Linked DNA regions of Rhinolophus ferrumequinum. The protein of the gene in region 2 purifies or fractionates together with the protein of the main gene of each other region. This does not show direct contact. Links are inferred from orthologs where the notes say so. Each region holds a gene or a part of one and is shown on either strand. Other genes may lie near its edges.

The links.
Region 1: the proteins of DYRK1A (region 2) and RB1 purify together in Homo sapiens (affinity purification with mass spectrometry; 4 studies listed by BioGRID and IntAct, with this or other methods). This does not show direct contact. The link is inferred for Rhinolophus ferrumequinum from reciprocal best matches to the Homo sapiens genes DYRK1A and RB1.
Region 3: the proteins of DYRK1A (region 2) and CTBP1 purify together in Homo sapiens (affinity purification with mass spectrometry; 4 studies listed by BioGRID and IntAct, with this or other methods). This does not show direct contact. The link is inferred for Rhinolophus ferrumequinum from reciprocal best matches to the Homo sapiens genes DYRK1A and CTBP1.

Annotation. Positions count from the first base shown.
Region 1 is NC_046287.1:89,098,359-89,105,705, reverse strand, and holds the start of RB1 (retinoblastoma-associated protein), read left to right. Parts: upstream 1-4,347; 5' UTR 4,348-4,533; coding exon 4,534-4,658; intron 4,659-7,347. UniProt on the Homo sapiens protein: Tumor suppressor that is a key regulator of the G1/S transition of the cell cycle. The hypophosphorylated form binds transcription regulators of the E2F family, preventing transcription of E2F-responsive genes.
Region 2 is NC_046285.1:102,489,917-102,497,294, forward strand, and holds the start of DYRK1A (dual specificity tyrosine-phosphorylation-regulated kinase 1A), read left to right. Parts: upstream 1-4,339; 5' UTR 4,340-4,903; intron 4,904-5,261; exon of another isoform or gene 5,262-6,309; intron 6,310-7,378. UniProt on the Homo sapiens protein: Dual-specificity kinase which possesses both serine/threonine and tyrosine kinase activities. Exhibits a substrate preference for proline at position P+1 and arginine at position P-3.
Region 3 is NC_046288.1:87,554,080-87,562,062, forward strand, and holds the start of CTBP1 (C-terminal-binding protein 1), read left to right. Parts: upstream 1-4,983; 5' UTR 4,984-5,092; coding exon 5,093-5,132; intron 5,133-7,983. UniProt on the Homo sapiens protein: Corepressor targeting diverse transcription regulators such as GLIS2 or BCL6. Has dehydrogenase activity. Involved in controlling the equilibrium between tubular and stacked structures in the Golgi complex.

The sequences.
Region 1 (7,347 bases), on a different chromosome or scaffold from region 2:
AAAGAAGAGATTTTAAAACAATTTCAGGAGCTCAGGATATTTATTTTTAATTTTTATCCAAAGTGAAGCAAACAACGTTTAATTTTTAAAATTCATTTTCAATTCTGTATCAGTAGCCAGTTTCGGAAATTTCTCTTATTAAGTTATAGTTACATTAAATTATTTTTCAATGAGAAATGGATTCTACGTCCATGAATTTCTTATGTGTGCAGTTTATTTTCACTGAATAAAAATTCAAAAGGTTTAGTGTCTTCGTATTTTATATGTGAATACCACTGAAGTTTGATGGCTTTATTGCTTCATTTAGCAGTTCATGGTTTTAGCATTTTGCCATGAGTTATGGCTATGAAGTCAATCGCGGGAGGTTTATACTTCTGAGTAAAATTAGTACAAACACTTAAGTCTTCAATTCTTTGGGATCACTTCTCCAGTCATTATTTGGTTTACTACTATTATTACTAACCTGCTACTGACATGTTTTTTCTTGGCGAAACAGGACAGTGAGGTTTACTTTGCCATTTATAATTTAGGGTTAAATTAAAACAAATGACACAAATTTTACTCCCCTATTTAGTTATGAATTTCAAAAAAACAGGCTGATTAAAAATTAAAATGACTATAAAAATTGTAAGAGTAAATAAATAGATACGTTTTCACTCACTTTTGGGTTACAGTTGACTAACCTTAAACTTTCTTTCCTTATAGTGGTCCTTACTATAGCACATGACAAGGACACAGACATGCTACCCGCAACTCACCACACAAGTCACAGAACACCTGAACTGTTCTATACTCTGTCTAATGAGAGGTGTTCAATGATCATGTGCTTGGATAGTGATGAAATGTCAAATTGCAATAAATGCTGCTAAGCATTTACTCTTAATTTCTGCACATATCTCCTTCTGGACCAAATGCAAGCAGTTTGCAAACTGGCACTGGTCCAAGGACCACTAGTAGTGCTGCTCTAGGGAACCTGCACTGAAGAGACTGGGAGGAAAACTACCGTGTTTCCCCGAAAATAAGACCTAGCCGGACAATCAGTTCTAATAGTCTTTTGGAGCAAATATTAACGGAAGACTGGGTCTATAATAACGTAACATAACATAACATAACACAACACCACATCTTATATTAATTTTTGCTCCAAAAGATGCATTAGAGCTGATTGTCTGGCTAGGTCTTACTTTCGGGGAAACACGGTAGTGGAGGAGTGTCGTAAGTAACAGAAGGGAGGAGGAGAACAAGCAGACCATGGATTTTTGGAAGACTAGGGAAATTTTCAGAAAGAGGAAGTGGATAACTGTGTTAACTGCCAGAAAGGTTAAGTACGTTGAGGACCAAAAAGAAGCCATGACTTGACATTTAGGACATCGGTGACCTTTGAAAGAGTGATTTCAGGAGAGTGCTGGTAGTGGTGGTAGAAGACAGTCAGGCACTAGAAGGGAGACGTTTGGGGAAGTAGAGAACGAATGGGGACTACCCTTTCAGCAAGCTAGATGGTAAAGAAATGGAAACAGTGTGGTACCTTATGAGTGAAAAAAAAGTCGAAGGAAGAATTTTTAGATGAGGGGAAAAACTATTGACATCACTGAAGGGGCCTCAAGCTGGAAAAGTTCCATTCCAGGTAGAACATCTAAGACAGATCTTTATTTGGTCTTAATGGCAATCTTAAAACTACTATGCAAATGGAGGAAGATCAGAGGAAGCTTCTTTTAAGAATCTGCAGAATTTGTATTACTTCTTTGGAAGTGCAACAGAAAGCTGTGTGGAGATGCAAGGATTTTGATTGACTCAGTTGCTCCTGAGCTGTGTGTAAGGATTCTAAATGTAGTAGGGAACAGTGAAATTAATTCATGGTAAAGATACACACCCTTTTGTAAATTGAGAAATCCCTTTTTGATTTATCATAATTGTGGTAAAACCAGATGTTGATAAACTGAGATTAATAAAGCAAGTCTTATCTGCCTATGAAGAGCATTTACTCCAGTCCCCAGAACTTTCCTGTGCTCTCCTGCCCTCCCCACTTTTAGCAAACAAGCATTTACTGTGTGTCCAACACCGTGATAGGCACTAGGGCTACAATGATTTGGTCTCCATCCTGAAGGGGCTCATTAGAGAAATAGTGTAACTTACGATGCTTTCTGGTTAAATCAGAGGCTCAGTTATGTTACTGAGGACATACTTTTTTTTTTTTTTTGACATTTCTACTGTACCATCCTTAACATTTTTGCTTTATTCTCAAGTCAGCTTGTCTTACGTCACAATGGCAGCAGCAATTGCAAGGGTCGCATCCTCATAATAGTTAAGGAGTAGAAGAACTGTGTCATCCTGTATCTCATTTTAGCAGGTTCTTAGCAGACTATCTGTGACCTTGGAAAGACCAACTGCATCCTGAGCTCCTGCCTACACTAATCTTGGGCAAAGTGAACAGGATTACCATTTTGACGGGAGTTGCTGTATATAGATGGGGCTGGGCATGGATCCTACCTCTTGACAGACTTTTGGTCCCCACGTGAGGGTTTCTGATCTTAGGCAGATATCGCTGGCTTACAAATATACTTTGGCTGTTGAGTAGGCTGAGGACTGACAACCCCTTTTAAATATTGGCATACATCATGGTATACACAGAAAATGGGAATTCATTACCATCTACTCACTTCTGTAATAAACCCAAGAGGCTTGTAGCCGTGAATTGCCTGAAGGTTTCTGCTGCCTCAGCCCTGCTCAGCTGTTCCAAGGATGAGAGGATTCACATCAGAGCACACTGTGTCTTATTCACAGCACCTCAGCTGGGAAGTTCTGGCGAGGCAATCCTCACCATCTACCAAAGAGAGAAAAACATGTACTCAATCTAGACAATCTATTACAGTAAGTATACACCAAGTGACAGAAAAGACACAATTTCTAAGCCATTATTTGATGGTGGTAGTTCCAGCAAGCTCTTCTTTGTTGTCTTTGTGCGTTTGCACATGCTGCTTCTCTCTTTTTGGTGTTTTATCAATGCAATGTAATGGATGTGTAGAGTCAAATCAACCTGGATTCAAATCCTCTGTCACCCATCAGCTCTGAAATATTGGGCAAATTAACTTCTCTGAGCCTGTTTCCCATTGGGTAAGAGGAGTAATACTAAGCACTACTCGTTTTAAAGGATTGTTTTTGAGTATTAAGTAAGATAATTATGGCCAGCACAACCGTGGTACCTAATGTTAACCAATAAAGATTTCAGGCTGTAAAACAAATTAAATGTTTATTCGCGGGTCTTAAAAAAGAATTCGAATCTGAAAGACCCAGATTCAGGTAGCAACCCAAAACGGGCTCTGGACAGAACAAAGAGATAGGGTTTATAAAAGCAAAACGACAAAGTGTAATTCTTTCATGCAAATAGAGGATTGTCGGGTAGGTTACAGGGATTGGTTAATTCCAATATGCAAACGATGGAGGCAAGAAACCGAGAAGGAAGGAAGCTAAGTCTATATATATGTCTATGTAGCAGTTACTGTTCCAGGATGTTTATGGGTGGGCCTTCTGCTGAGTTTAGCAACAGGTTTAGCAACTTAATCGCAGCTCTGAGAACTGAAGCACAAGATGTGTAGGGTCCCACATCCCTAATAGCCTCCTGACTATTTTACGTGACTCTCTCAGCAATGCTCATTCTATTTAATATTTTCCCCATTATCAATACTAAGCCCTCCTTAAATGTTAGGTCTCCCTGGCAAAATTCTACTCAACTCCCACTGCTCCTTTGAAGATGTCCTTTACACAGTTTGATGGTGCCTCCTGTTTTTACACCACTATTAACACATTTATCACACTATAATGTTATTTACCCACAGTCCCCCTCCGTTTCTTACACGTGATCCCTAAAAGGCCCGTAATTGTCCTACAATTCGTATCTCCTAGTGGTTGGCAGAGTTCGCTCCCATTAGATGTTCCATAAATGTTTTTGTTTTGGCCAACTTTGCTTAACGGATTGGGCGGGAGGAGTGCGGTGGAGACTGAGGGTGCCGCCCACGGAAGAGAGGGGGGTGCTCGTAGAGGGTGCAGTAGCCTGATATTCCCGGGAGGGCCTGAGCGGCACCCCCTGATCCGCCCATAGATGGAGATGCGGCCCAATCTCCCCCACCAGACTGTGCAAAGCCCCGTTACCCGCACCCATGCCTGGAAGCGGGAGACAGGTTCAGGCGGCGACTTCGGGGAAGGCTCCTGGACGCAAGCCCGGACTCCCCGCCCAGCCCAGCCCGCCCGACCTCCCGTCCCCACCCAGCGCAGCACCAGGCGCCCCGGTTCCCTCCCGACGCCGGCGGGCCCGCGAGCTTCGCGGACGTGACGCCGCGGGCGGAAGTGACGTTTTCCCGCGGTTGGACGCGGCGCTAGGTTGCCGGGCGGGGGAGGGCTTGTCCGGTTTTTCTCAGGGGACGTTCAAATTATTTTTGTAACGGGAGTCTGGAGAGGACGGGGCGTGACCCGACGTGCGCGCGTCCTCCGTCCCGGGTCCTCCTCGCCGCTCGCTGGCTCCTGCTCGGGCAGGGCGTCATGCCACCCAAAACCCACCGGAGAGCAGCCGCCGCGTCCGCTGCCGCACCCCCGGCGCCGCCGCCGCCCCCTCCTGAGGAGGACCCCGACCAGGACAGTGGCTCCGAGGACCTGCCTCTGGCCAGGTGAGCGAGGAGAGCCACTGCGGCGGCCGACGCGGGAAGGGCGCCCCGAGGATGCGTCTCGGCGGGCGCCGCGGCGTCTGGCGGGGGCGCGTCTTCGCCGGGGGCAGGGTCCCGGCGGAATGAGGGTCCCTGCTTGTCCCCCACCGCCGCGGAGCGCCTGGAGGCGGGTGACAGGGGCCTGGGATCGGGAGCGACGGGAGGGCAGCCGGGAGGGGTCTCGGCTCCAGCTTGACAGGTGTCGGGCGGGTGGGGCTCGGGTCCCTGAGCGAAGTGACAGGTGCCGCCTTTCCTCCGCGGGACGGGAGGCTCGCAGGCGGCGGGTAATTTAGAGGCCCCATCAAACGGAAAAAAAAAAAAATAGTGTCTGGTGGAGAGTTTTTTCCTGTTGAGATTTGTAGTACTCCGGTGGTCTTAGACTTTCTGTTTTGATCTCCTGGGATGCAACAGTTGGAAGTGTTTTCCTCTGGGCGTGCAACTCCAGCTCAAGCCCAGTTCTGGGAAAGGCCAACCAGAAAAGCCTCGGACGTTGCTGCAGAGACGCCATTGGACGTGAAGTTCAGGGTCCTGAGTGTCAGTTTGCCTCCAGGGTACTCGGCTGAGGTGCTTTGTACGGTTCTCCTATAATAATGCCTTGAGGTCTTGGGGATACAGAGCCATCGTAGTGACTGCTGGAACGTAACTTTAGAGGAAATGGTGTATGGGCAAAAGTCTTGTGAGACATGTAGTCTAAGTGCTTAAAAGGGTCTAAACTTTTTTTCTTTTTTCTTAAAACTGAATGTGAGTCAGCTTCAGCATGTCTCATTATTTCTTCCATTTTGCCTCTTGGCTTTGAGCCAGCAAAGGTCCTGGTGTTTCCCCCCTGCCCTTTTTTTGTTTGGTTACAAAATTTGTGTTCTTGTGCATACATGAAACTTTTTTTCCTAAGTGGAATTTAAATTTAAGAAAGTCCATGATATTGCAGTAGAACACGACAGGAAGATATTTATTGTATTGCAACATCTTATTTTTCTTGATTGTGGTACTCTGTGGTTAAGAAGTTAAGATTGAAAGAGTATAATTGTCATTATTGGGGGCACTGGTCCTACTTTCAGACTACATGTCCATTGCAAGCAGTTGGGACTCCTTTCTGTCCCTCACCACTCCCTCCCTTGTTCTAGTCCATTGCCAAGTCCCATTTCTTTCACCTCCCCAGACACTAACAGAATTCAGGCCAAATTGTAAAAGATTGGAATGGGCTTTTGGAAAGGGCCCGTGAAAGGCTATTAAAAATTCATATATTTCAAAAGACTGTCTTATGGGTCAGTTAACATCATACCAGTAAAAAAAAAAAAATTCTGGGGATGTTCTGGGGGAGAAGACATTATTTAGCTTCTGATTACACTGTGATGTATCCAATACTTGAAAGTTTCCCTTTGGAAAGAGCAGTCAAGTCTACTTTACTAAAGTGTTCCATGTTATCCACAGACCTTTGGAAACAGTCTCGATTATTGTAAGGTAACCAGAAATATTGAAGTTCTGGCCATCACCTCGGACTTGGTTTCTTTTATTCTTTTCAACACCTTGTTTTGCATACCTTTAAATGATGGAAACTCATTGTTTTTTCAACACCTTGTTTTGCATACCTTTAAATGATGGAAACATAAATTCTCCTGTAAGTCAAAACCATACAAGATACAGTTTGCTTTTGATTATCCATACACACAAAAGGTTTCATTAGCATGGGCAATCGAACTCTATAGATGAACTACTTAGCAAGGATAGCACCACTGTCTGGCAGTCTGCAGCCAAGAAATTTACTTAGGGATGGATTCGAGGCCCAGTCCAACTGCACTTCCAGTGACAGAGTCCATTTCTACCTTGACAGTTGAGATCCTTCTTTTACATTATCTCTGGCCTGAATGATGTAGTTGGGAGGGAAACCCTCACCAGTAACTGCATGTTATCTTCATTGTTGAAATAACCAAAGTTAATTATGTCTTGAAGGATGGTTGGCAGTCTGGAATAGTGCTCAAGGGAGTGGGTTATGAAGTTAGGCTATTGGGTTTATATCAAGTTTTCCTACTTACTGGCTGTGATGTCAGGTGAGTGCTTTAACTTCTCTGATTTGGTACTTACCTGTAAAACAAGGATAGTAAGAGTAGTTACCTAATAGGACTAATGTGGGGATTCAGTAAAATTATGCATCTAAGCTGCTTTGGTGGGGTCATGGTAAAAACTCAAATTGTTAGCTGTTCCTCATGCTATTATACATGCATTACTTATACAGTATTATACATACTATTAGTATACAAAATTATTAGAGCTATTCCTCATAATATTAGATGTCAGATAGACATTAAAGGAATGAAAAGGAATTAGCCAACAAGAGTTTATTGACTGCATATCTTGGTTAAGGAAGATCTAAGAGCAAAGGCTGAAATGAACTTAGCAATAATTTGTGTCAAGTTAATCATCATGTAAGAAATGTTAGTAGGTGGAGAGATTATGTATATGAAACATTGATAAGTGTAGACTGTATTTTAGCAAAGTCACTGATAGTGAATTGATTCTGTAATAATGGGCTTTTCTCTTGTTGTTATCCTTATTTTACCAAACAGCTTTAGCTCTTGTGTTCACTTCACAAAGCTATGATCAGGCCAGCAAACATTTTTCACTGCATGGCATCCTTATTTTAGAAAGACTATGAAAA
Region 2 (7,378 bases):
TTGAGAAGCACTGCTGTAACAGAACTAACCAGCTTCATGGTAATCACTGACATTGTATCTTCAGTGGGATTTTCGTCTTCCAGCTTTGCTGACTGCAACAATCTGTCCTCTGGTGCTAGAGAAATTCCATCCATTTTAAGATCAGAAGAGAACATTTCCTACTTGTCTACAAATCACTGGACAGTTTCCCTTCAAGTTTTCTGATTGCCAAAAACCTCATATAGGATGGAGGAAAACTGGAAGAAAATTGCAGGAGCTCATCATGCATTTAAAAATACAAAACAAAGTAGTATTTACAGTATGGCAGATATGGTGCTAGTGATACAAAGATGAAAATATAAGATCCTTGCCCTAAAAGCACTTGTAGTTGAGAAACAGTCAAACAAATATGATAGAATAAAGTACTACCACTGCTCTGACCACATAAATATCTTTTGAATTGAATTGAGGTAAAATAGGAAATATGTTGAAGACAGTAGCAGTAAATGCACATATTGATAAACACTGTAGGAATATTAAATGATGTCCACTACATACCTACATTAAAAAGCCAAGAAAATAAGCCAAATCTCTCAAGAACTGTTGAGCTAATGAACCATTCAAGTAAGCGATCTTTGTAGATTTCTGTGTCTCCTCTACCTAATTTAAATTCCATGTACTTAATTATTTTTCAGTTTCATTAGGGCATTTTCCCTCAAACTATTAATTTCGAGGAAGCTGCCATATATATGAATCAATATATTAAAGTGTATTTCTTTTTAAATCCTGACCAAATGTTGTAAAATACTTTTTCGGGATATTCCAAAACCATGCAATTAATTAATATGCTTTAATCTAACATTTACATTTTCTATTTAACCTTTATTTTGATGTCACAAAAAAGAAAATATTAAAGATAATTCATGAAATAATATTGGTAAACATTCTTACATGACAGGAAAGCAATACATATCATCCTCACTTTTAAAAATGACACCATTAGAACCACATCTTGCCATGAAACAACATTGTAAGCAACCTGATGATGCTTACCTGGGCCACGTGCTCTGCCATGCTCTGCCACGTGCTCTCCGTCATGGCAGAGCACGTGGTCCAGGTAAGAAGAGTGGGTTGGGTGAGGGCAGTGAAGCTGAGAGCAGGGAAGCCGTCTGGGCTAGACCCACTTGTCAGATGGCAAGGAATGGAGATGGTAACGGATAAATTGGGGTGATGGGTGTCTGGTGTTGATATCATACACTAGCCTAACAACAGCATATAGCCATCCAATTTCCTTCTTTTTTGCAGTAAAATTAGAAAGAAATCAACAAAAAGATGACACCTCTTCCTTTTCCCCTAAATGAGCTTGGGATATATACACAGGCAAGGACAAATAGCCAACAAGTATGTATATAAAAAAGAAGACATGAAATGGTCCAACAAATGCAAATTAAAACAAGAGTGGAAAAAAGTCATCCTCACGCTACTTTTGGGAGTGCAAATTGGTGAAATCATTTCTGAAGAATACTTTAGCGACACGATCAAAGCTCTTTAAGGATTCATGCTCTTATCCTAAGGAAATAACCAGACAGGTGTGGAAAATGTATATATGCAATGTTTATACAGCTTTATTTATGATAACCAAAAAGAGGAAAACTCTTTAAAAATAGAGGAGCAATTAAATGAATTATGGCCCATTCAACTGATGGAATACTTGTAGCTGTTAAAATAATTAAGTTTCAGTTGATTAACACCAAACACGTTCATAATTGCAAGTAAAAAAGGCATAAAACATACCTACATGTGTTGCGAGTGTGTGCACATGCGTGTTTCCCTAAGAATGTCTGGGAGGATATATGCCAATATGAAGATATGAGTGAGGTTTATCTCTGGGTGACATCTATGAATAATCTTTTTTTAAAAATCTATGAATAATCTTTATCTCTTTGTTTTCCCTATTGTAAAACTGTTTCTCATGTCCACATGTTACTTTCATTTTTTGTGTTTGGACCTCAAGTGTAGAGAACTGAGTATTAACTTCTTGGTTCATAGCATGCTATCATTATCAGTTTAAATAAGGCCCCTCTCTTGGTTTATTTTGTTTCCTTTTAATCTGTTTCATACACTTGACTAACTTTTACAATCAGAACTAACAATAAAGCTTATACAAGGGGAGCAATGAAGGAGCTTTACTCAGAAGTCTGTAAGAAGTGCAGCGCTGTCAGATTCTGGCTGCGCCACTGTCCAGGGACGAATTGTAAAACTGTTCCCCTTCTAACCTGGTGTGAGGGGCAGTCGTAGGAACATTCGTTTCTTTGTCCTTGGAATGTTTGGGTTATAACTCGTGGGGTTCTGACTTCTGAACTTTTGAGCTTCGTATAGTGTATCACCTAGTATGGTCATTAACAGGTGTGGAACCAAACAAAAAAACCAGCATCTTGGTTAGAATCTGCATGTTAGTTTGCTCGGGCTGCCATAACAAAGTACCACAAATCAGGTGGCTTAAACAACAATTTATTGTATCACAGTTCTGAAGGCTAGAAGTCCAAAATCAAGGTGTTGGGGGAGGCTGTGAGGGAGAATTTATTCAATCCTGTTTCCCAGCTTCTGCCAGCCTTAGGTATTCCTTGGCTTGTGGATGGCATTCTCTCTGTGTCTTCACGTTGTCTTCCCCGTGTGTATGTCTGTTTCTGTCCATATTTCCCCGTTTTATAAGGACACCAGTCATATTGGATTAGGGCTCGCTCTAATGATGTCATCTTGATTACCTCTATAAAGACCTGATATCCAAATAATCTTGGATCGTCTTGGTGTGGTAGAAATGGGCTTTGCAATTACACCTGGGTTTGAATCTTGGCTTCACCACTTACTGGTGGTGTAACCTGGGAAAGTTATTTACTCCGGGTTTGTTTTCTCATTTGTATAATGGGGATGAAATGTTTCTATGAGGATTAGACATACCCTAGAATGTACTGGATTAGTGGAGGCTGTTATTATCTGTGAGTTGGGTGGGGTCTTTGCTTTTATAGTTTAACTTCTATGAATAGATACATCAGTCAGTGGATGTGATGAGATTCTCAGATGACAGCAAGGATTCAATCGCTAAACCTAGTCAACACTAAACTGGCATCTGAACCAGAGTCCTTCCTGCCTATTTGTTTACTTGTTTTGGGCCAGCATAATTTATAGGTTACTTTTTAGGTGAAGCCTATTAAAACCACTTTACAGCATTTCAACCTGGACATGACAGTGACAGTTCATTGATCAATGTTGTGTAAGACTGTCACATGGGTGGGGGTGGGGCTGGCCCTGTGTGGTTGAGAGGGAAGGGTGCAGCCTTCTAGATATGAAGACCAGAAATCCCTTCAATTACTGCATGATTGTAAGCTCAAGATTTTGCCTCACCCTTATAATCTTCTAGATTGATTTGACTGAAGACAAGGGCCCATTTCTTGAGACACTGTCATATTGTTTCCAGGTTATCTAAAAAATTAATTATGCAAGTTTCCTTCATTACCACCAATAAAAATTTGACTCAAATTTAACTTCAGTGTTAAAGGTTGCTAATGCTCCAGTGCTTATGATAGAAGTGAAACTGGTGAATGTGGTGGGGGTGGGGAGCAGGGAGAAGAAAACCCCGAGTGGGGGAGGGGTTGGTTATATAGGTGGACGTGAGTCTGGGAGGAATTAAGGTAGCGATTTCTCACCTCAACATGGACCCTCTTGGCCAGTTTCTTCAAAACAATCGGGCTGAACGTGGACTTTAATTGCATTAGCAGGGCAATTTTGAAAAAGTCGGCAATCCAAAAGAATTTGTGAGTCATGGCAACTTTTTATACCACGGAGGAGAATCAGCCTGAAGTAAGCTTTTTGCCCGACTACTTTTTGTCTCATTTATTTCAGGTTTGGTCTGATTTCTTTCAGGGCCTGTGCTAATTTGAATGGTTGCCTTAAGTGTATCAATGTTCTTATCACTGAAGGAGGGAAACATTTGTTGGAAACCATTTAAAGCAAGTGTCTTTCCTTGAGTTACATAGGATAGAACCAGTATTTATTACAGGATTGTTATTCTTTACTAAGATTGTATCTGTTGCTACTGTATTTGTGAACAGTTTAAGCTTAAGAAAAAATTGATACGAACACTATTATATGATGGCAAAAACCAAACTTAGAAATCAATCAATAAATTAAGTGTCTTGGTGTAAAATAGTATCTGTTATCCTTTTTAACGTAACACTTAAGTGCCATTTTATTAGGCTTGGTACAAAATACAATTTTTAGCCAGTGGCTGTCTATTGATTACAAAGTACCCAGCACAGCATGGCTACTAGCACAGCTAGGTTTTAATGCCTGGGGGGCGGGGGGTAGGGACACATACCAACATTTAAGCAGAAAGGGTAGATATAATAAAAATACATGAAAGCCAGAATATTAATAAAGAATTGTGGGCGAATTCAGAATCTGGAAACTGAGATGGTACATGAAAAAGAAAACGGTGTTGGGCAACAAGGATACAGTAATAGGTCGTGTTAATTTAGGGGGTTATTCCGATCGAGAAGGCAGCGCCCAGCAAGGTGGGTAGAGGTCTGAAATAGGTGGGAAAGCCAGGGAGAGCGTGCACAGCCTAAAAAGTTTTTATGATGGTTCCGTCCACAATTTCTGAACGTTGGCGTTGGTGGCTACACAAACCGTGTGGCATGATTTAATCAAGGTGTCAGCCGCAGGGGCATCCCGGATTCGGGCGAAGCGTCCGGAATTCCTGAGATGTCTGAAACGCGGAGGCGGCCTCTTCCCCACCCCCAGCCGCGGCCTCCGTGGGCATTTTCCGGCGAGGGGGGCACGCGAGCCCTTCCAAGAACAGTTTAAACGCGCGGACGTGCGCACCCTGGCTGCCTTCCCTCGGCTGGCGCGCTACCGTGAAACGAAGGTGAGAGCCCTGGGCCAGGGCGCGCGGGGGTGGGCTTCCGGGGGTCCCCACGCGGCCGCAAAGCCCGACCCCCCTCCCCCCGGCGCGGGCGGGGCTGCGGGCGCACGACGCGGAAGCGCAGGGCTCCGGGGGTGGCGGCGCAGAGGCCGCGCGCGCTCCTCTGCCCGCAGTCGGCGCGGGCGCGGGGCGCGGCCAGGCGGCAGGGGAGGCGGCAGGCGCTCGCTTACGGGCCGGGCCGCCGCCTCGCCCCCCTTCCTCTCCCCTCCCTCCGCCCTGCCATCCTCCTCCTCTCCCTCCCCCGAGCGAATCACGCGCCCTCCTCTGACACTCGTAGCGGGCCCGAGCTCCGAATTTATCCTTCACGTGACCTGAGGGGGTTGGGTGGTTGGTTGGGTACGGAGGGGGAGAACTAAAGGAGGGAACGGAATCTGCCGTTGCCGGAGCAACAGGCCCCGCCCAACGGCTTGAGCCGGGGGGCGGGAGGAGGACGTTAGCACGTCAGCCGGGGTTTTGCGTTTTGATTGACAGTTGCTATAGCGACCGGGTCGGTCCGTCGCCATTTTGTTGGTTGGTTTTTTTTTAAACCCTTTCGCTTCCCGCCCGAATAATAATAAAAAGCCCCATTGGAGTGAGGCGGGGGTGGCGGCGGCAAGAGCGGCGGGGGGATCCGGGGAGACTGCTGCCGTCGCTGCTGCTGATCGCGGCTCAGGTCGGGCTCAGGGAGCGGACACCCCAAACGGGGGGTGCGGGCGCCGCCGCCGCCGCCGCCGCTTCTGCTGCTGCTGTTCCTGCTGCTGCTGTTGGTGCCGCTGCCGCCGCCGGCGAGCGGGCGGGACCGGTGTGAGTGTGAGAGTGTGTGTGTGAGTGAGCGTGTGCGAGGGCGAGTGTGCGTGCGTGTGTGTGTGTGAGTGTCTGTCTGTCTGTGCAGGGACTCGGGGGCGGGCGGTTCGGGCTCTCCTGGCGGAGGAGCCGCCGCCGCCGCCGCCGCTCGGGCCCCGGCGCTTCTCGCTGCGCAGGTTTGGAGCGCGCGCCATTTTGTGAGATTTACAAAATCCTCCTCGAGAAGAAGCCGCCGGGAGCGGTCGCGACTCGGCGCCCGGCCTCGCCGCCGCCGCCCTCCGCGCCGGGCCGGGCCGCGCGGCCCCGCCGCCGGGAGTCGGGGTCCGGGGACTGCGGTATTTGCCGGGGAGGGGGCTGTCGCCTCCCCGGCCCCGGGCGCCGCTGGAACCGCGAGCCGGAGAGAGACTGAGAAGGTTGCGGCTCGGCCGCGGAGCCGGGAGCGCCGGGGGCGGAGAGCGGCGACCCGGGCGGCGCTGGCTGCGGAGGCCGCGGCGGGAGCGCAGCGGCGGGAGCCGGAGGCTGAGACTCACCGGAGGGAGCGGCGCGAGCGCCCCGCCATCGTCCTGGTGAGTGTCCGGCCGGGCCGCGGCCCCGCCCGGCCCGGCGCCCGGCTCCCCCCGCGGCCTGCAGCCGGGCCCGCGCCGAGGCCGGCCGGGCGGAGGGAGGGACCTGCCATTTTAGGAGGAGGCGCCGCGGCCCGGGGCTGGCCGCCGGGGGAGGGAGCCCGACTGGCCCGGTCCCGGAGGAGAGGCGGGTGCGAGCGGAGGGAAAGTTGCGGAGGGTGGGAGCAGGGGCCGCGGCCTCCCGGGAGCCGGGGCCTGGGGGCTGGAGAAACCGCCAGACCTTCACTGGTCGCCCGAGCAAAGGGGAGGAGGTTGTCTTCCTCCTCCTCCTCCTCTTCCTCCTCATCCTCTTCCCCCAGCTCCTCCCTCGTCCCTCCTCTTGGTCCCCTCCAGTGTGGGAACCGCCGGGGTTCTCCGCAAGGACAATGTACGGGTTAAGAAAATGGGGCTGGCTGCTGGGCGAGGCGCCGGGGAAGGTCGGGAGCCGGGTGCCTCCGCGGCCCTTTGGGGTGTGTGTTGGAGCGAGGGCACTCGGCGGGCTCTGAAGTTGTGCCGTGAGTGCAAGTGATCCCGGCCACTCGAGGGGGAGTGATGACCTGTTTAGCAGCCGGAGGAATTGGTGGTTGAGAATTCGTAAATTATAATTGATATCTGGGTATTGCAGCAAAACTTCACAAGTCTATTCCCAGATACAAAGCTACTCTCACTTAGATCCACCGAAACTGCTGAATATCTTAACACTTAGCGAAAGGCCCCTCCCCGAAATAGTTAAAAATGGCAAAATCAGTGAGTGATGGACTCCAACTATTTGGCTATGCCTTTCATCCAACCCTCGATTATAAGAATATTGTAATCTAGGTTCCTCACTTGAATGTGAGCACCGTTTGGTTCTTGAATTCCGCCCAAATTGTCAAAAAAAAAAAATACACCTTAAAACGTTGTTTTCACACTGATTTAAAAATTTGGACGAAGAGCGCCATTCATTATTCTCAGAGCTTTATTTACATAAACAAGCTTATCCTACTGGTAGGAACTGTTACCCATTTCACAGATGGGGAAATTGCTGTGACTC
Region 3 (7,983 bases), on a different chromosome or scaffold from region 2:
GGGTCTGAGGGTGTCTCGGGGTGAGCGCTGTGACATTAGCGTCACTGACCGGGCGCTTCCAGGAGTCTTCCCCACCTCAGGTTGCCGGGGCCCGACTTCCTACCAACACTATGTAAAGGATGACAGGCCAATTTTCCTGTCACAGACCACCTGAAACATCTGCCCAGCTGTTTGCACTTGTCTTTCAGGAGAAGGCAGTCAGCCGTTGCCACGGGGAGGGTTCTCTTTCCTGTTGGTGGTTTGTCCTCCACCCCCTCCCGAGGGATTAGCCCCAAAATCCTGCCACGCTGTGGGGGACGAAGCCACCATCAGAGCTTCAGGCCTGGGGGGTGGCTCTGGCTCCCGTTTTCTTTTTGGCATTGGGCGGAGTTTGCCCAGAAAAAGAAATACAAGTGACAACATTCTTGTAGCCCTTCTTGGAGGTGACATCCCATCACTTCTGCATTCTGTCATTGGAATGGCCAGCAAGTGAAGCCCAGGCTGGGGAAGTGACGGCCCAGGTGTGAGCAACAGCGGGGGGTAGGGGTGGTGGGGGGTGGTGTCTGGGGCCCATGCCGCCCGTCTTTCCAAAGAGCCAGTTTTTGGTCTTGTGACTCCTGGGTAACATGGGCTTTACTCCCTAACTTTTCATCCACAATCATGTCTTTGTTTCAGCCTTTCTCTTTCCGTGGGTTTACTCTGCAATTCCTCATTTCTTGAGTTGGACGTGAGATGCCTCTTTCCACCTTCCTTATCTCCCACAGTCCACACACACACACGTCCAGGACAGAAGCTCCCTCAAGTCTGGCTTGGCTGCCCCGTGGACATTTCCATGTAGTGTTTCTTTGTTGTCGGCTTCTAAATGCTTTAAACTCATTTTTTTGAAGCATGAGTCAAATATAGTTTATGGCTCTACATTTCCAAATGTTTGGTTCTATTATCTTAGTTTTATTGTCATTGCATTTGGTTGGAGAACACGATCAATATAGGTTTTTGGTATTTTGCTGGGACTGGTTTTGTGGCCGTGTCATGTAGCCATCGTTGGTAAACATTCCATGTGCTTGAAAATGATGAGTTCTTTAATTTGGGGGTGCAGGGTTTCTGGTCCTCAGTCTGCACACCAAAACCGGTGTCCCCACCTGGGCCAGTGGGGACAGCAACCTTCCTGGCTGGCGTTGCGTGCAGTGATTTGGAACGGACTTTTGCTCCCACACATGGCCAGCCCAGGAGACACCAAGTTAAATTCACAGCCATGTGTGGAGCCCCAGGAAGAAGCATTTGTTCATCCAATGCGTTAGTGATTCTTTGTGGATGTGCTTGTCCCGCGTGGCGCTGAGGCCGACACCACTCAGTGACCGGGGCCTGGCTTCCTGAGCTGGGTGGCTCTCCAGCAGCTGGAGGGCTGGCTGCGTCCTTGGCAGGGCAAGTGGGCACTGAGCACCTGTTTGCAGGCACGTGGCCGGCCCCAGGTGCAGGAAGAGGATGAGCAGGCCACCTGCACAGATGCAGGTCGGCTGTTGGCGCCTCCCAGCGGGCAAGCCGGGTGCAGAGCTGTGCCTGCAGAGAGCTGTGGCGCTAGTGTGGCCAATATGGTCATGCCTGGGTCTCGGAGTCACAGCTGTAGTCACGTGTGGGGAGCACACAGAGTTCTGGGGCTGCAGCCCCAGTGCTGGAAAGCAGCGCTTGGGGACAGTGGGACGGGAGGTGGTGCAGGCACCAGAGGAGCCAGGGAAGCAGTGACGAGGCCTGCTGGCTGGCTGCATGGTGAGGCTGTGGGAGGCAGAGCTGAGGGAGGTGCTGGGTACCTGGCCACGGTCACCTCTCCCTCTTGGTTGCACCTGTGAAATTCCTTGGAGCTCCACTGCAGCTGCAGAATGAACTTGCGTGTGCAATGGAAGAAGTGTGAATTCTGGCCAGGTCCCCTGCTTCTAGGTGGTCCCATCTGTTGCACACTCAGGCATCTGACAGCCGTTCCTGCTCAGCAAGTACAAGTCAGAATGTGAGTTGTGGGTTTCTCCCCAGCTGACCCACCGGCCCCGGGTCCCTCAGCACGGAGCATATGGCCTGATTCTAGCTGTGAAGAATGGAGTGGCCAGGCCCCCTCTGTCCCAGCCCCCTGCAGCCTGGTGGCAAGTCCTCCAGGCCCTGCCACCTTCAGCTGCTGCTGACCGTTTCCGGAGGGGGGGTTCCCAAGTGGGGTCTCTGCCCTGTGCACCCCACCATTCACATCACCCCTTCTGGCAGCCAAGAATAGAAGCCAAGGCCCTGACCCTGCTGTCTCTCCATCTCCTCCAGCTGCAGCCCTCTGTCCCTTGCACCCACGCCAGGACTTTGAGTTTGCTGCTCCCTTTTCTGGAATGTTCTTTTCCCAGACTTCTGTAGGTATGGCCCTCCCCCATCAGGACTCCATGCCTGTCCTCTCCTCCACGACCCCACTGGGCCCCACTGTCAGGCCCGTCAGCCCCAGTGCTCAGATGACCCCTCCGGGGTCTCCTCTCAGCACAGCCCCAAGCCAGCATAGGGGGGCCAGTGGGCCCACAGGACACCCTGGGCCTTGGTGGTGGTGACAGTGGGAAGCCAGCAAGGGTGCCTTGTCCGAGCATTGTCAGTGCCACTTCAACTCAATGACAAGCTGGATCCTAGGCCGCCTCTCAACGCCACAAGAGAGACGGGTTGTTTTGCAGTGGCCATGACGCTCCCCCAAGAACCACTGAGCGAACAGCACTAGCGTCTTACAGCAGCTGATGGGGTGGAAGCGCTGCATGAGCTCGCACTGATTGCCGGCTTACAAACCGTTCAGCTGTCTGGACAACATTGCAGACGACCCAGAATGACTAGAAGACAAAGGACCTCTAGTTCTCCACGGAGAGAAAAGAAAAATATTAACTTCTGGTGTTGGAAAAATTCTCGCATTCCTTAAGGAAAGAAGTGGGGATGCAGGTACACCACCTCTGGTGACCTGGAGGGAAGGTCCGGTCTCTTCTGGAAAGGAGAGGCACACCGCGGTAGTCGTGGGCTAGACTCTGTGGCCACAGTCTGAGCTTGCTTCATGGAGGCAGAGCTCAGGTACCAGGCGCTTCCTGGGCACAAACCCAGGTCCAGCTGAAGACCAAAGGGTGGGGGCTCCTTCCAGATGATCTCTCCTGGGAGGGGGCAGCTCCACCAGGAGGTGACAGCTCAGTGGTGTCAGGCAGGGCAGAGATGGGCTTCCCCTGGCCTACTCACCTGCCTGCCCCAGGCTGTCTGCAGGCCAGTTCTCTGAAGGGAATTCAGGGGCCTCAGGACCACACACACAGGTGTGGGGACAGTGGAAGGGTATCTAACTGATCCCTCGGTATCTAACTGATCCCTCGGTCCTGTCCCAGAGGCTGTGGCACCGCTGGCCAGGAGGACCGAGGAGGCATGCACGGGACGGCTTGCTCAGAGCCATGCATCGATCCTTCCTGTGGCTCCACCGAGCAGGTTTCCACCTGGAATACATGTGGCTGGGGGAACAGAGACCCCTGTCCTCGGGAGTGGGCAGTGCGGTAGGAAGACAGCCCAGACTGAGAGGAAACCCCTGTACTGGACACAGGGTAAGGAGGAGGAAGTGGCCATGGGAAGAGCAGGGGAAGGCAGCAGAAATGGCGTGTGTGGTGGCCCTGTGACAGCCGGGAAGAAGGGCCATGTGGCTGGAGAGTGGGAGGTTAGAGGGAGAAGGGTGCAAGAGTGGGGGCTCTGGCTGTGACAGGAAGCATGGATTTCCTCTGTAGTGCGACGGGAATCCTTAAAGGGTTTTGAGCAGGGGGTCACAGTCTGATCTACATTCTGGGAGCAGTCACAGGGGTGAAATGATGTGGGAGAGCCTGCTCTGGGCAGCTGTGAGATGGCAAGAGCGGGTAGCAAGGGGCAACCTAGATCTCAGCACAGGAGGTGCTAAGGCAGGACAGGAAGAGGGCCAGGAGCTGGCTCAGGCCAATGTTTGGGGAGTAATCTTCTGAGAAAATGGGGGTGGGGGGTGACACACACCCTGGTCTGGAGTTTTGATCTCTCCCTCCTGGTTCCTTTTGAATCTGCATTCAGAAAAGTTCCCTAAGAGGTTTGCCACATGCTTACATCCCGCTTTCTCATTTCTCCATGTGTTCCAATTAATCCAATTTGGAAGGTATTTTTACAGGTGAGTACTAAGTGGGAGTTTAAAAGTACTTGTTTTCCAAGTAGATACCCAGTTCTCCGTCATCCTTTGTTGGATCCCCCACATTTCCTCACTGATGTACGAATTATAAAAGCGAAGACAACAGGACTGATTTCAGGGTGGCCACGCGGCCTGCAGAACTGCACCAACAGCTCAGTGCCGGCCACCGCAGACGTCAGGGTGCCTGGGCCTGCGGCTCTGGCCTGCGGTTCCTCCGCATCACGGATCACCTCGTCTTGGGGACCGAAAACTCCCTTGAGGGCCGGGGTGCCCTCTGGACTTCTGGAACTAAGCACCAGTCACTCTCTAGGGCTGGGGTCGGTGTCCAAACAGGCTGGGGTGAGGACTCCGCTTCAGTCACCCCGGTCACCTCTCCGAGAGCCCCAGCCCAGGCCTGGGAAGCCCGTGTGCTCTGGCTTCAGTGTCTCAGAGCTGGTTCCCTTGCAGCAGACTAGGAAAGCTCGTCTAGGAACTTCCTGTCCAGGCCGCCTCGCCTGGGCAGGCGCAGCCCGGCGGCTGCGTGTGCGGGGCAGGCAGGTGTGCAGGTGCCTGAGCGGGGCAGGCGCGGCCAGCGGGAGTGAGCATCGAGGCCCGGCCTGGCAGATATTGGTGCAGGGCAGGTGCGGCGCGGGCAGCCTGGCTCCGGGAGGGGGCGGGCGGGGCGGGCGGGCGCGGCCTGCAGCCGCCCGCGTGGTGCTGCGCGGCGCCCGCGCCGGGAAACAGGAGGCCGCTGGGCCGGAAGCCCCGCCCGCGCGCGCGCGCCTGTCCCCGCCCGCCCGGTGGAGCGGCTGCTGGCGCGGCGCGGCGCTGCTCGGCACGGCGGCGCCCGGGCGCAGGCGAGCGGGCAGATCAGCGGACGGCGCCCAGGCCGCCCCAGGCGCCGGGCTCGCGGCGGAGCGCGCCGGACTCGTCGAGGCCCGCGGCCGCCCGCGCCTTTCAATGGGCAGCTCGCACTTGCTCAACAAGGGCCTGCCGCTCGGTAAGGCCGCGCGCGCGCATTTCCGGCCGCGGGGGCGGGGCGGCGGGCGGGGCCGCCGGCTTTGTGTGCGAGTGCGCGTGCGCGCCGGCGTCCGCGCGCCGCCGGGCCGGGGGCGGGACCGAGGGCGGGGCCGGGCCGGGGAGCTCCGAGCGCGTGCGCGGGCTGCTGTGTGCGAGTGCGCGTGCGCCGGCGCCGCCGTCACGCCCGCCGCCCGCGCAGGTGACACAAAGGGGCGCCGGACCCCGACCCTGTGGACCCTCGGCCCACCGGCCTATCGCATTCTGGCTCCGTGACTCCCAGTCGGACCCCCGGATCCTGGCTTCCCCAGACCCACGGTGCCCAGACCGCGGACCCGAGGGTCCCACTCCCCCGGACCTCCCGGCCCCACAGACCCCAGATCCCAGGCCCCGGGTTCCCGGTCCCCCACCAGACGCCCGGTTCCCCAGATCCCCGGTGCTCGACCCCGACCTCAGACGTGCGGTGCCCAGCGGGAGGGCCCTCGGCCCAGTGTGTCCTGCTTGGGCCACAGGTCTTGTGTCAGTGAGACGGGCTCCGCTGCTTCGTTTAAGTCACTTCCTGTTGTAAATACTCCCCCAGGGCTTCAGCGGGCGGGGGAATGTCACAGACTCGGGTGGCGCACGATGAGATCAACTACACGCAACTTGCTTTGAAAGAAATGAAAAGCTCTCGCGTGTCCTGAAGATGAACTGCGTTTTGGCCCAGTGGGGGCTCTGTCCCTGCCCTTGGGGGCTCCGCGGGCCTGTCTCCTGTGGAGGCGCCGGGGGCCGCCAGGGTCTGCTCGCCAGCCGGTGGCCAGGATGCGGATCTGCCTGGGACGGCGAAGCCCTTAAGCTGGAGGGTTTTCTGTGGGGACAGGCGCTCGGCAGGCGTTTCAGTGGTGCTTGCTTCTGCAGCCGGCTCTGTACGGCCTTTGGGATGTTCCGTCCGTTTCTAAAAATGTATAAAATTATAAGGTCTAGCTGGTGGGGAGGGCAGCCCTTCCCTCGGTGGCTTTCAGCGGGACAGCTAGGGCACAGTCCTGTGGCGTCCTCGTGGTCACAAAGGGGGGGCCAGGGGCCCCCACACAGCAGTGCGGCCAGAACTCAGCACACTGCACTCCCTTCCTTGAGCCAGTCGTTTCCACCTCAATAATTCAAGAGATTTGGACCCAGTTCTGTTTGTCACAAGGCACCTGCCCCCCTTGTGTTTGAAAGATGTCAGACAAGGGTCCTCGCTGGTCTCTGGGCAGCACGGGGGAGGGGAGCCCAGGGCCTGGGCCTGTGGGGGAGCAGGCTGGGTTGGGGACCCCCTCTGCTGGGAGCTGGCCTGATGGTGGCCCCATGCCTGCTTTCGCATCCTGCCCGGCTGCCGGTGGCCATCTTGCATGTGCTGCAATCCTTGTCAACTTCCAGCCAGCGTGGGCTGGGGCCTGCTCGTGGGAGGGGCTGTGCGGTCTGCACGTTCTCCTGCACCCTGTGCCGGGTCCGTCAGCCCCTGGCTTCCTCTTCCCAGCCCCCCTGCCCCTCGCGGTGCCCTTGGAGCCCACAGAGTTTGGCACTGGGGGCCTGTGGGAGGGAGGGGCTGTGACTGCACCTGAGCCAGTGGCTGGAGGCTGGAGCTTTCTCTGGCTGGTGCCCAGGCCTGCCCTCTGCCTGCCTGCTGAGAAGCCAGGGTGCTGTCTCTGGGATCCCCAAGGGACCAAGCCGCGGGAACCTGGCAGGGAGCCAGACCCTGCACAGTGATGCTCCCTGATAGGTCAGGACAGACCGACCTTCGGGTTGGGGGAGGGGAACCGCCACCACAGAGAGGTGCACAGCTTGCTTCTCCTCTGGTGAGCTGACTGAACTGCAGGGTCAGGTCGCAAATGGGGGCCCAGGGCCTTTTCTCCCCATTCTCCAGGACCCCTCCATTCTCCTCTTCAAAGTAGCAACTTCATTTGCATAAAAACATACTCAGCAGAAAGCCAGCCCCCAGCATGTGGAGCCCACCCACCCTTGCGAGCTCCTGTCACATAATCGGGGGACCTTAAATGTTTTCTGAGCAACCCCAGACACTAGTGAGCAGCTCTCTGTAGGAGAAGGCCTTTGGAGTTCAGAGGTAGGTCTGTCCTTGGCCCCCCACCAGTGCTTGGTGGGGGCTTCCTTTGGGCCAGCAGTCCCCAAGCAGAGTGTTGGGCCTTGATGGGACTTTTCTCTGCTGACGGTTTGTCACCTGTCCTTGGAGTTTCCTGTGTGAGCAGGCGCTGGGGATGTCCTGTTTGAGTAGCAGGGCCCAGCTCGTCAGTGCTGACACCTTTGGCCTCAGCCCTGCTGTTGCCGAGACCCCCTTCCAGGTGGGTCCTGTGGCTGACAGGGGCGTCAGAGGTGTGGCGTCCTGAGCTTTTTATCTGGTAACAGCTCTCCTAGAAGACTCAGTTTCCCCACTGGTGGCATGAAGGAGGACTGCTGGCCCTCACTCTGTGGGTCGCCTGGCTCAAAGCCCTGGGTGGCCCTGCCCCCAGGACAGGAACTCACACCCCAGGGCAGGGACCATCCCCTCCAGAAGCTGAGCTTCAGACCAGCCCATGGGCCACGCCCTAGCGTGGGCCTCCTGTGGCCGCCCCTATAGGCCCGGGTCTTGTGAGAGGAAACATCCATAATCCTGCAGACCTGGAAAACTCAGGGGCCTGTCACCACGCGGGACGACAAGGGGTGGCTCTTAGTGCTGTTGTGTCTGCCATGTCATCCTTAGGCAAGTGGTCCCTTGTGTCCCCTGTCAGCCCTGGAGCCAGGGTGGGGGAGGGTGACAACCTGATGGGACTGGAACCTGGGACCCTTCTGAAGGAATCCCAGCGGACCAGTTAATGGTGGGG